Linked DNA regions of Sus scrofa. The protein of the gene in region 2 interacts with the protein of the main gene of each other region in a pairwise test. Links are inferred from orthologs where the notes say so. Each region holds a gene or a part of one and is shown on either strand. Other genes may lie near its edges.

Region 1 (3,648 bases), on a different chromosome or scaffold from region 2:
GTAATTCTTTATTTTTTTTTGCTTGACATTCTATTTATAAGGATTTTTTGAATCTGTTGCATTGATTGTAGCAATGCAGTTCCTAAATAGTATATTTGTTCATAGTGGTCTTTTAATTCCCATAGTTTATGTGATATGAGTCAGGCAGTGAGGCCCACTTCCGTTTCAGGACTCCAGAAATACTGTGCAAGTGGCAAGCTCTCTAGCCCGTGGTTCTCAGAAATGCGTTTTCTGTGCCCTTAGGCCACTGAGGATGAGAGTTTGCTCTGCTGGTGCCCAGATGTGTTGGTGGAACGAGAGCTGTATCAATGGATGTAATATTTTCTGCTTTGGGCCTTTCTGTAGGGATTAAGGAGACTGAAGAGGCTGAAAATAGGCTGATGAGCTCCGTTGGTAGCCTCCACTATCTCACCATGACTGCCGAAAATCCCGCTGAAAATCCCACGCCTGGAGACCTGGCTCTGACCCCCCTCGTCACTTGCAAACTCTGCCTGTGTGAGCAGTCTCTGGACAAGATGACCACACTCCAGGAATGCCGCTGCATCTTTTGCACAGCCGTAAGTTTTCCTTGGTTCTTTCATGATGAGAAAATACAGAGAAAGACTTGTACAAGTACAGCTTACATGTCTATGGCTTACTGAGAAGCCCAAGTCTGCTGCGATATGATCCTGCCTGGGGAAACAGTTCCACCTTTGAATCTGATTCCAAATACTATCTTGAATGGTAAACCTGGTATTGACTGGGTTTTACTGTAATGCGTGTGTGAAATTTAATTATTGGTTAAATAAGCAGTATCTTTCTGTTCTTAAGAATCTAGCTAGGGAGCAAAACAGTGACATTTTTTAACATGCCTTAGTTAACAGCCATCTGTAAGAAGTTTATCAGGTGGTTTGAATGATGGCGAAATCAGGTATCAATTTACTGGATCGTCTTTAATATGCTTGCTCATCTCCTACAAAGCACATGGTGTGTACACCTGTTTACTTGGTCGTATCTCCTTTTACATTTTTTTGTCTTTTCAGAATATGCTGAATGCTGCTTATTCCTCATAATAAAGAGGACCCTGTACAACTCCAGGGTGGGCTTGTGTCGTTTAGTTGGACACTTAGTGTCAATGCCTATGATCTTGATCACATGTTTTCCTGAAGATTGGCTGGTTAAAGAGTAAAAATAGCAAACAGGCTAATGGGTTCAAAGGGGCTCCTAGAAGTGTGGACCAGATTGACACTTGTTCAGGTGTTCACTCACTGAGGTGTTTTTCGAGCTCCTACGATATGCCAGGCACTCTGCTTGGTCTTGGGAATATGAAGAGGAAAAGGATACTTCCCGTAGGGAAGACAGACACGTTGAAAGAACTATACACAAGTCTGGTGAAATTAGGGATCCCTAGACCACAGAGGTCGGTCCTCCTCTTTGGGGATGGGAGGGGGCTTCCTGGCGACAGTGCTTTCCTGAGCTGAGGTTTTAAACAAGAGACTGCACACTGATGCCATGGCCTCAGCACCTTTTCGTTTGCATCCCCAATTGGGAAATTTCTTTTTTTTTTTTTTTTTTTTTGGTCTTTTTGCCATTTCTTTGGGCCGCTCCCGCGGCATATGGAGGTTCCCAGGCTAGGGGTTGAATCGGAGCTGTAGCCACTGGCCTACACCAGAGCCACAGCAACGCGGGATCCGAGCTGCGTCTGCAACCTACACCACAGCTCACGGCAACGCCAGATCGTTAACCCACTGAGCAAGGGCAGGGACCGAACCCGCAACCTCATGGTTCCTAGTCGGATTCGTTAACCACTGCGCCACGATGGGAACTCCCCAATTGGGAAATTTCAAATGACGGATTTTGTAAATTTTTCCTTTTCAAAATGAATAAACAGTAAGATAGAGCTACTCTGGGCCTGTAGCTTCGTAGGCCCAGAAATAGATGATCTTTTTTCTGTTTATGGTACCTACCTCTCTCTTGTATGTATTTGAATGAACTATACTTTCAAATTAAGGATGGATTAAGAGTCAGCTAGGGAGAGTTTGAGGCCTCTCAGCAGGGTGGAGGGGAGGGCCTGATGCCTAAATTAGTAATATTCACCACTTATCTTTGCTTTGGTAGGCCTTGCATGGGTACACTGTTAATACTTAATATATAGTAGGTATAATTACCAAACCAATGTGGGTTTAATACTCTGACTTGTGAAGGAAATTGAACAGTGATCGGTACTTAAATCAAGGGGAGTAAGAAGAAAGGAATCATTGAGGAAATACTAGAATCACTTATAAAAAAGACATCCTACTAATCATGCTTTTTAAAAAACGTTAACAAGTTAAGGTGAAATAAATTTTACCCCGTCTCCCTCTCTCTCCCTTTTTGTTTTCTTTTTATGGCTGCACCTGTGGCGTAGGGACGTTCTCAGGCTGGGGGCTGAATCAGAGCTGCAGCTACAGGCCTACATCACAGCCACAGCAACACTAGATCCAAGCTGTATCTATGACCTACACTGCAGCTTGTGGCAACGCCAGATCCTTAACCCACTGAGTAAGGCCAGTGATAGAACCCGGATCCTTGTGGAGACTTGTCAAGTTTTTAACCCCCTGGTCCGCAACGGGAACGCCCATCTCTCTTTTCCAAGTTAATTTAACACGACGCTTTTTCAAGCTAGTTTATATCAATTTTCTTAAATTTGTTTGGATTGAGGATTAGGGTAGAGAGAAGGCTTGGAATAATTTTGAGATAAAAAGGAAAGCAACTAAAATCCTTATGTTTTGAACTGGAGGATCCAGAGATGGAAAGAATAGTATCATTTATCCCTTCATTCAGCAGATACCTAGTGAGCAGCCTCTGTGTCCTGGGAATTGTTCTGGGCACTGGGATTTATCAGTTAAAGAACAAAACCCAGCAGAGATCCTTGCTTTTAGGAACTTGTGTTCTGTCAAAGAGTTACATAATAAATCATAAGCCTAATAGGAGTTCCCCTTGTGGCTCAGCGGAAACGAAACTGACTGGCATCCATGGGGACGTGGTTTCGATCTGTGGTCTCACTCAGTGGGTTAAGGATCTGGTGTTGCTATGAGCTGTGGTGTAGGTTGCAGACATGGCTTGGATCCCACATTGCAGTGGCTCTGGTGTAGGCCAGCAGCTACAGCTCTGATTCGCCCCTGGCGTGGGATCTCCATATGCCGCAGGTACGGCCCTAAAAAGACAAAAAATCAGAAATAAATAAAAAAGCCTAACAAATAGATAAGTTACATAGGAGTGGGTAATAGGGATTTAAGAAAAAAGGTAGAGCTGGTTAGGAGTGTGGGGCCAGGACACTGCAGTGACAGTTGCGTGGACGGGAGGTGGGTTCATGAAGTGATGTTTGTGCTGGTTCTTCCTCATCTTGTGTTACTTGACGGGAAGTGAGGAAATGGCCTTGTCATCACAGGGCAGCTTCGGTTTCCTTTGGTGTTGCTTTGTTTCTGAATGCTGTGCTTCAAAACTGTTTTCTTAGATTTTCTCACATCGGTCTCAGACCCTTGCTAACCTTTGAAACAAATGAGTCAGAAGCCACATTTGGTTAAAGCCAGAAGGGACATTCTTGTCTGAGGATTACTGAAGTTGAAGAGCAGGACATGGAATTCACTTTTTGCAATGAGATCTCATGCAGTAGAATTCGGATTTGTG
Region 2 (4,438 bases):
TCTGGTGTGGCTGTGGGTGTGGCTTAGGCCAGCAACTGTAGGTTTTTTTTTTTTTTTTTTTTTTTTTTTTTTTTTTTTTTTTTTTTTTTTTTTTTTTTCGGCATATGAGTTCCAGGCTAGGGTGAATCGGAGCTGTAGCCACGCCTACGCAGCCCAGCAACGCGGATCCGAGCCGCTCTGCCCCCACGCTCCGCCGCGGTCCTTCCACGGCGGCGGGTCGAACCCCCTGGCCTAGCGACGTCCCCCACTACCCACGACCCCCCACGCCCTGTAGTCCATTTGATAGCTTCGACCTCATATGCCGTGGGTGCGGCTCTAAAAAAGCAAAAAAACAAAAACAAAACAAACTTCCTAAACTGTGCTCAAAACTCAAAATACCTGCACAAAATATTTTCTGATTTCCTTCGTCTGGATTGAAAGGGATGGGGAAGATGGGTTCAGTTTCCCCAGAGTCTCCTTATTACCAGAGATTCTTCTCCAGATGCTGCTAGGGCTCAGGGGCTGCTATTCCTAGGCGGCCTCAGCTTCCTCCAGGGGAAAGTGTTTCTGCCCTTACACAGAGGGGTGGAGACTCTTGGTTGTGTACTGGGGCACACAGTAGGCCCGCAATTTGTAGTGGACTGATGGTAAAATAATGGAAGCCTCTGAAGTCCATCTTGGGGTCCCCACTACCCAACTGTCTCCCAAACCTCCACAGAGCAGGCACTTAAACATTAAACCTACCAAAGCCCTAAAGCAAGTGAATGGGTCCAACAGCGCCCCCTTGCGGTGCTTTTCACCAAGCGGTCACTTGGGAGGAACATCTTTGCAGTTCCGCCGCCGAATGCTGGGCAGCACAAAGGAACACAAGCCTCCAGGGGAGGGGTCCTTGAAAAGGCTATAGTCCACGCCGTCTCCCACCAATTTTTAGAGATGGAGCATTGGGCCCAGAGTGGTTTGGGGAAGTGGTTTGCACAGGGGGGCTCCTGGAATTCGCGAGAGGCTTAGGGCGGCGGTCAGACGGTGGAGGCCCCCGAGCAACCTGTCGCGGAGCTGCGTTTGCATAGCACGCATCCTGTATTTTCTTAGGGCGAGTGTGTGTTCGGGGCGGCTGCGGCGACTGGGCTAACGGAGCTGATGGAGACCCCGGCTTGGCCTCCGGCGGAGGAGCTGAAATTAGAACCCGGATGGGCGGACCCCGGCCCGGGAGCACTCGCGGCCGGGTGCACGGCGCCCCCCAGTGGTATGCCGGGAACCGGAACGCCGCGCGCTCCCAGGCCCGCCTTGTCTGCCGACAAAAGAGCTAGAGTTCCGGGGATCCGAGCCCACCGCGCCGGGGACGGGGCGGGTCCTCCCCTCCGTGGCCTCCTAGGCTCTGCCGAGGCGGTGGGAAGCAGGGCCGCCCAGCCCGGAGTCCCCGCGGGTGGAGAGGAGCGTGGGCGGGGCTCCCGGAGGTGGGGTCCCCGGGGCGGGGAGCGCCGAGTCCGCCGGCCGGTGCACAGTCTCGCTGGAGTCCGACAGAGCCCACACTGGTCCCGAGATGACGGCGAGCAAGCGGGTGGCAAAGGTAACCGCGTGTAGAATGACCCTTTCTCAAGGCTCCCCTCGCCTTGCTAGTCCCTCTTCCCTGCATCCCTCCCTTAGCAGTGCGAGCGCGTTTGTTTGTCTGGGTACCAGGGATGGCTGAATCCCTGCCATCTCCGCTCCCACCCCAGAGGAAGAGGGATCTTCGAGAGGGGCCAGAGCTGGAGTTTGGGGGGGTGAGGGCATATCGAGCGGGGGTGTCGCTGGCTCCCTGAGCTGTGCTGGGGATGGGAATGAGCCCCCCCCCCCATTGGTTTCAGTTTCATTTCTTCTCCCAGAAACTTGTGATAACAATTGCGTGCGTCTCAGGTGCGGGGAGGCTTCGTTGGCTTCTTCTTGGAGACAGGCCCTCAGCTGGAGGTGGTGGCGGGTGCGTTTTGAGCAGAGATAACCAGGACAAGGTTCTTGTCCTGGCGTAGCCCATGGCCTGCCCTATAATTTGGTACCTACGTTAGAGTCCCGAGAAGTATGAGATGCTGAATAGGAGGCAGGAGCAAAGTTCTCAGACTGTTCTGGGAAAGAAAAGATGCTAGGGCGATGTCCTGGGGTAGGTGACGGTGTGTTTATTTGTTCTGCAAATGTTATTGAACCTCCTCTGTGCTGGCTCCTGTTTTGGAGGCAGAGATGAACCAAAATCCTGCCCTCACTGAGCTTTCATTCCAACCAGGGATGCCATTTGAAGTGACCTCTGGAAGGATGGAGAGGGGACAGTTTCCCCCATGAGTGGGAAAAACCCAGGTTGTGGCTGGGATTGGAGACAGTTTGAGAAGGTTAGAGCAGTTCTGGTGAGGTGGGTCTGATACCCCCTCAAGCTTTGAGTCTCCTGGAAATTCCCCTCCTATGTACAGAGCAGGGGGCAGGCTTGAGGTGGGTGATTGAGCCTCTGAGAAGATCTCAGATAGGGCATTCAAAGCAGGCTCAGCACAGAGGGACTGAAATCTGGAGATTGGCAGCAAAATGGGCCAGAGGGTCTTTCCAGCCAAATGGGAAAGAATGAGGAGCCAGTATTTATTGCACTGGCACTGTTAAATGAGTGCCAGGCAGCTTACATTAGTTATTCCAGCTCATTCCCACAGCATCCCTGTGAGCTAAGTCATATATCCCCATTTTCCAGATAAGGAAGCTGAGGCTTGGAGAGAATAACTTGGCTCTCCTGGGTCACCCCATAGAGATCGAGGGAGGGACCTTGGACTGGAGCCCTGGTTGGTGGAGCTCCAACCCACAGGTTCCTTCACTGGTTCTTCTACTTTCGTTTTCTATTCTTCTGAGTCAGATGATTTCCTAACAGACCTCAGGACAGAGGCGTGTGTCCTAGCTTGGGTTTCAACATTCCCAGGCTTTGGGAAAGTCTGAACAGAACTCATATAAAACAGATCAAGTCCAAGGGCTTCCAGTTCTAGTGAAGCTGGGAAACTGACCATTTCAGAGCTTCTCTGTTTAACCTGGGGGTTCATTCTTGCTCAGGAGTCACAAGTGATACTGGAACTAGGACTTGTAGTAGAGATGCTTCTAGTTTGGGATAGAAGATGAAGAAAGGGTCATAGATTCCAAGCAGAAGGTGCAAAATGCAGTTTGTTGGCGTGAACAGAGTTGGCGTATGGACTGAAAGATAAGAAACAGGGATAAGGGGGTGTTTGTATGTTGGGGAGGGGCAGAGAAGTTTAGATGGTGCACATGTGAGAAGACCCCTCCCCCACTGTGAACGAACTGGCTTGGGGGACCTTTCTCTCTGCCTTTGTTTACGTCAGAATTTTGCAGCCTTGTCAGTACTCACATTTGGGGCTGGATAATTTTTTTTTTTTTGGTCTAAGGGCTGCACTCACAGCACATGGAGGTTCCCAGGCTAAGGGTCACATCGGAGCTGTAGCCCCTAGCCTACACCACAGCCACAGCCATGCCAGATCCGAGCTGCATCAGCGGGCTACACCACAGCTCGTGGCAATGCCGGATCCTTAACCCACTGAGGGAGGCCAGGGACTGAAGCTGCGTCCTCGTGGATGCTAGTCAGACTCGTTTCTGCTGAGCTATGACAGGAACTCCTGCAGTTGGATTCTTAACCCACTGCGCCACAGCAGCAAGTCCCCATTTCTCCGTTTGTGACAGCCAAAAATGGTTCTAGACATTGTCAGACCTCTGGGGTGGGGGGTGGGGGGTAAAGGAATCCCCTAGTTGAGAACCACTGTTTTCCACCTGTTTGGTGGTCCAGAAAAATGTGACCTTTTTATTTGTTGTTGTTGAGTTTTTTTTTTTTTTCCCTGAGGTCTATTGCAGAGGGGAGAGGAAAGGGGGGGGGCGGGCAACATAGGGATAGAGGAGTAAGAGATACAAACTCTTAGGTATAAAATAAGCTACAAGGAGATATTATACAACACAGGGAATATAGCCAATATGTTATAACTATAAATGGGGTGTAACCTTTAAAAATTGTGCATCTTACAGTGTAACTTATATCATACAGCAACTACACTTCAATTTTAAACATTTTTTATAAAGAAAAATATAAATATTTGTGTCTTTTTAGGGCTGCACCAGCAGCATATGGAAATTCCCAAGCCAGGGGTGGAATTGGAGCTGTAGCTGCCAGCCTACACCACAGCCATAGAAATGCGGGATCCCAGCCGTGTCTGTGACCTACACCACAGCTCACAGCAATGCTGGATCCTTAACCTGCTGAGCAAGCCAGGGATCGAACCGGCATCCTCATGGGTACTATCAGGTGTGTTACCACTGAGCCACGATGGGAACTCCAAGAAAATATATTTTTAAAGTCTGTTGGCGAGGAGTTCCTGTTGTGGCTCAGTGGTTAACAAATCTGACTAGGAACCATGAGGTTTAGTTTGATCCCTGGCCTCGCTCAGTGGGTTAAGGATCCAAC

The links. The genes of interacting proteins can lie anywhere in the genome.
Region 1: the proteins of UBE2L6 (region 2) and RNF144B interact in binary tests that used the Homo sapiens proteins (3 or more experiments, as listed by UniProt). The link is inferred for Sus scrofa from reciprocal best matches to the Homo sapiens genes UBE2L6 and RNF144B.

What each region holds. Positions count from the first base shown.
Region 1 is NC_010449.5:14,052,118-14,055,765, forward strand, and holds part of RNF144B (E3 ubiquitin-protein ligase RNF144B), read left to right. Parts: intron 1-345; coding exon 346-557; intron 558-3,648.
Region 2 is NC_010444.4:13,352,569-13,357,006, forward strand, and holds the start of UBE2L6 (ubiquitin/ISG15-conjugating enzyme E2 L6), read left to right. Parts: upstream 1-1,519; coding exon 1,520-1,546; intron 1,547-4,438. UniProt on the Homo sapiens protein: Catalyzes the covalent attachment of ubiquitin or ISG15 to other proteins. Functions in the E6/E6-AP-induced ubiquitination of p53/TP53. Promotes ubiquitination and subsequent proteasomal degradation of FLT3.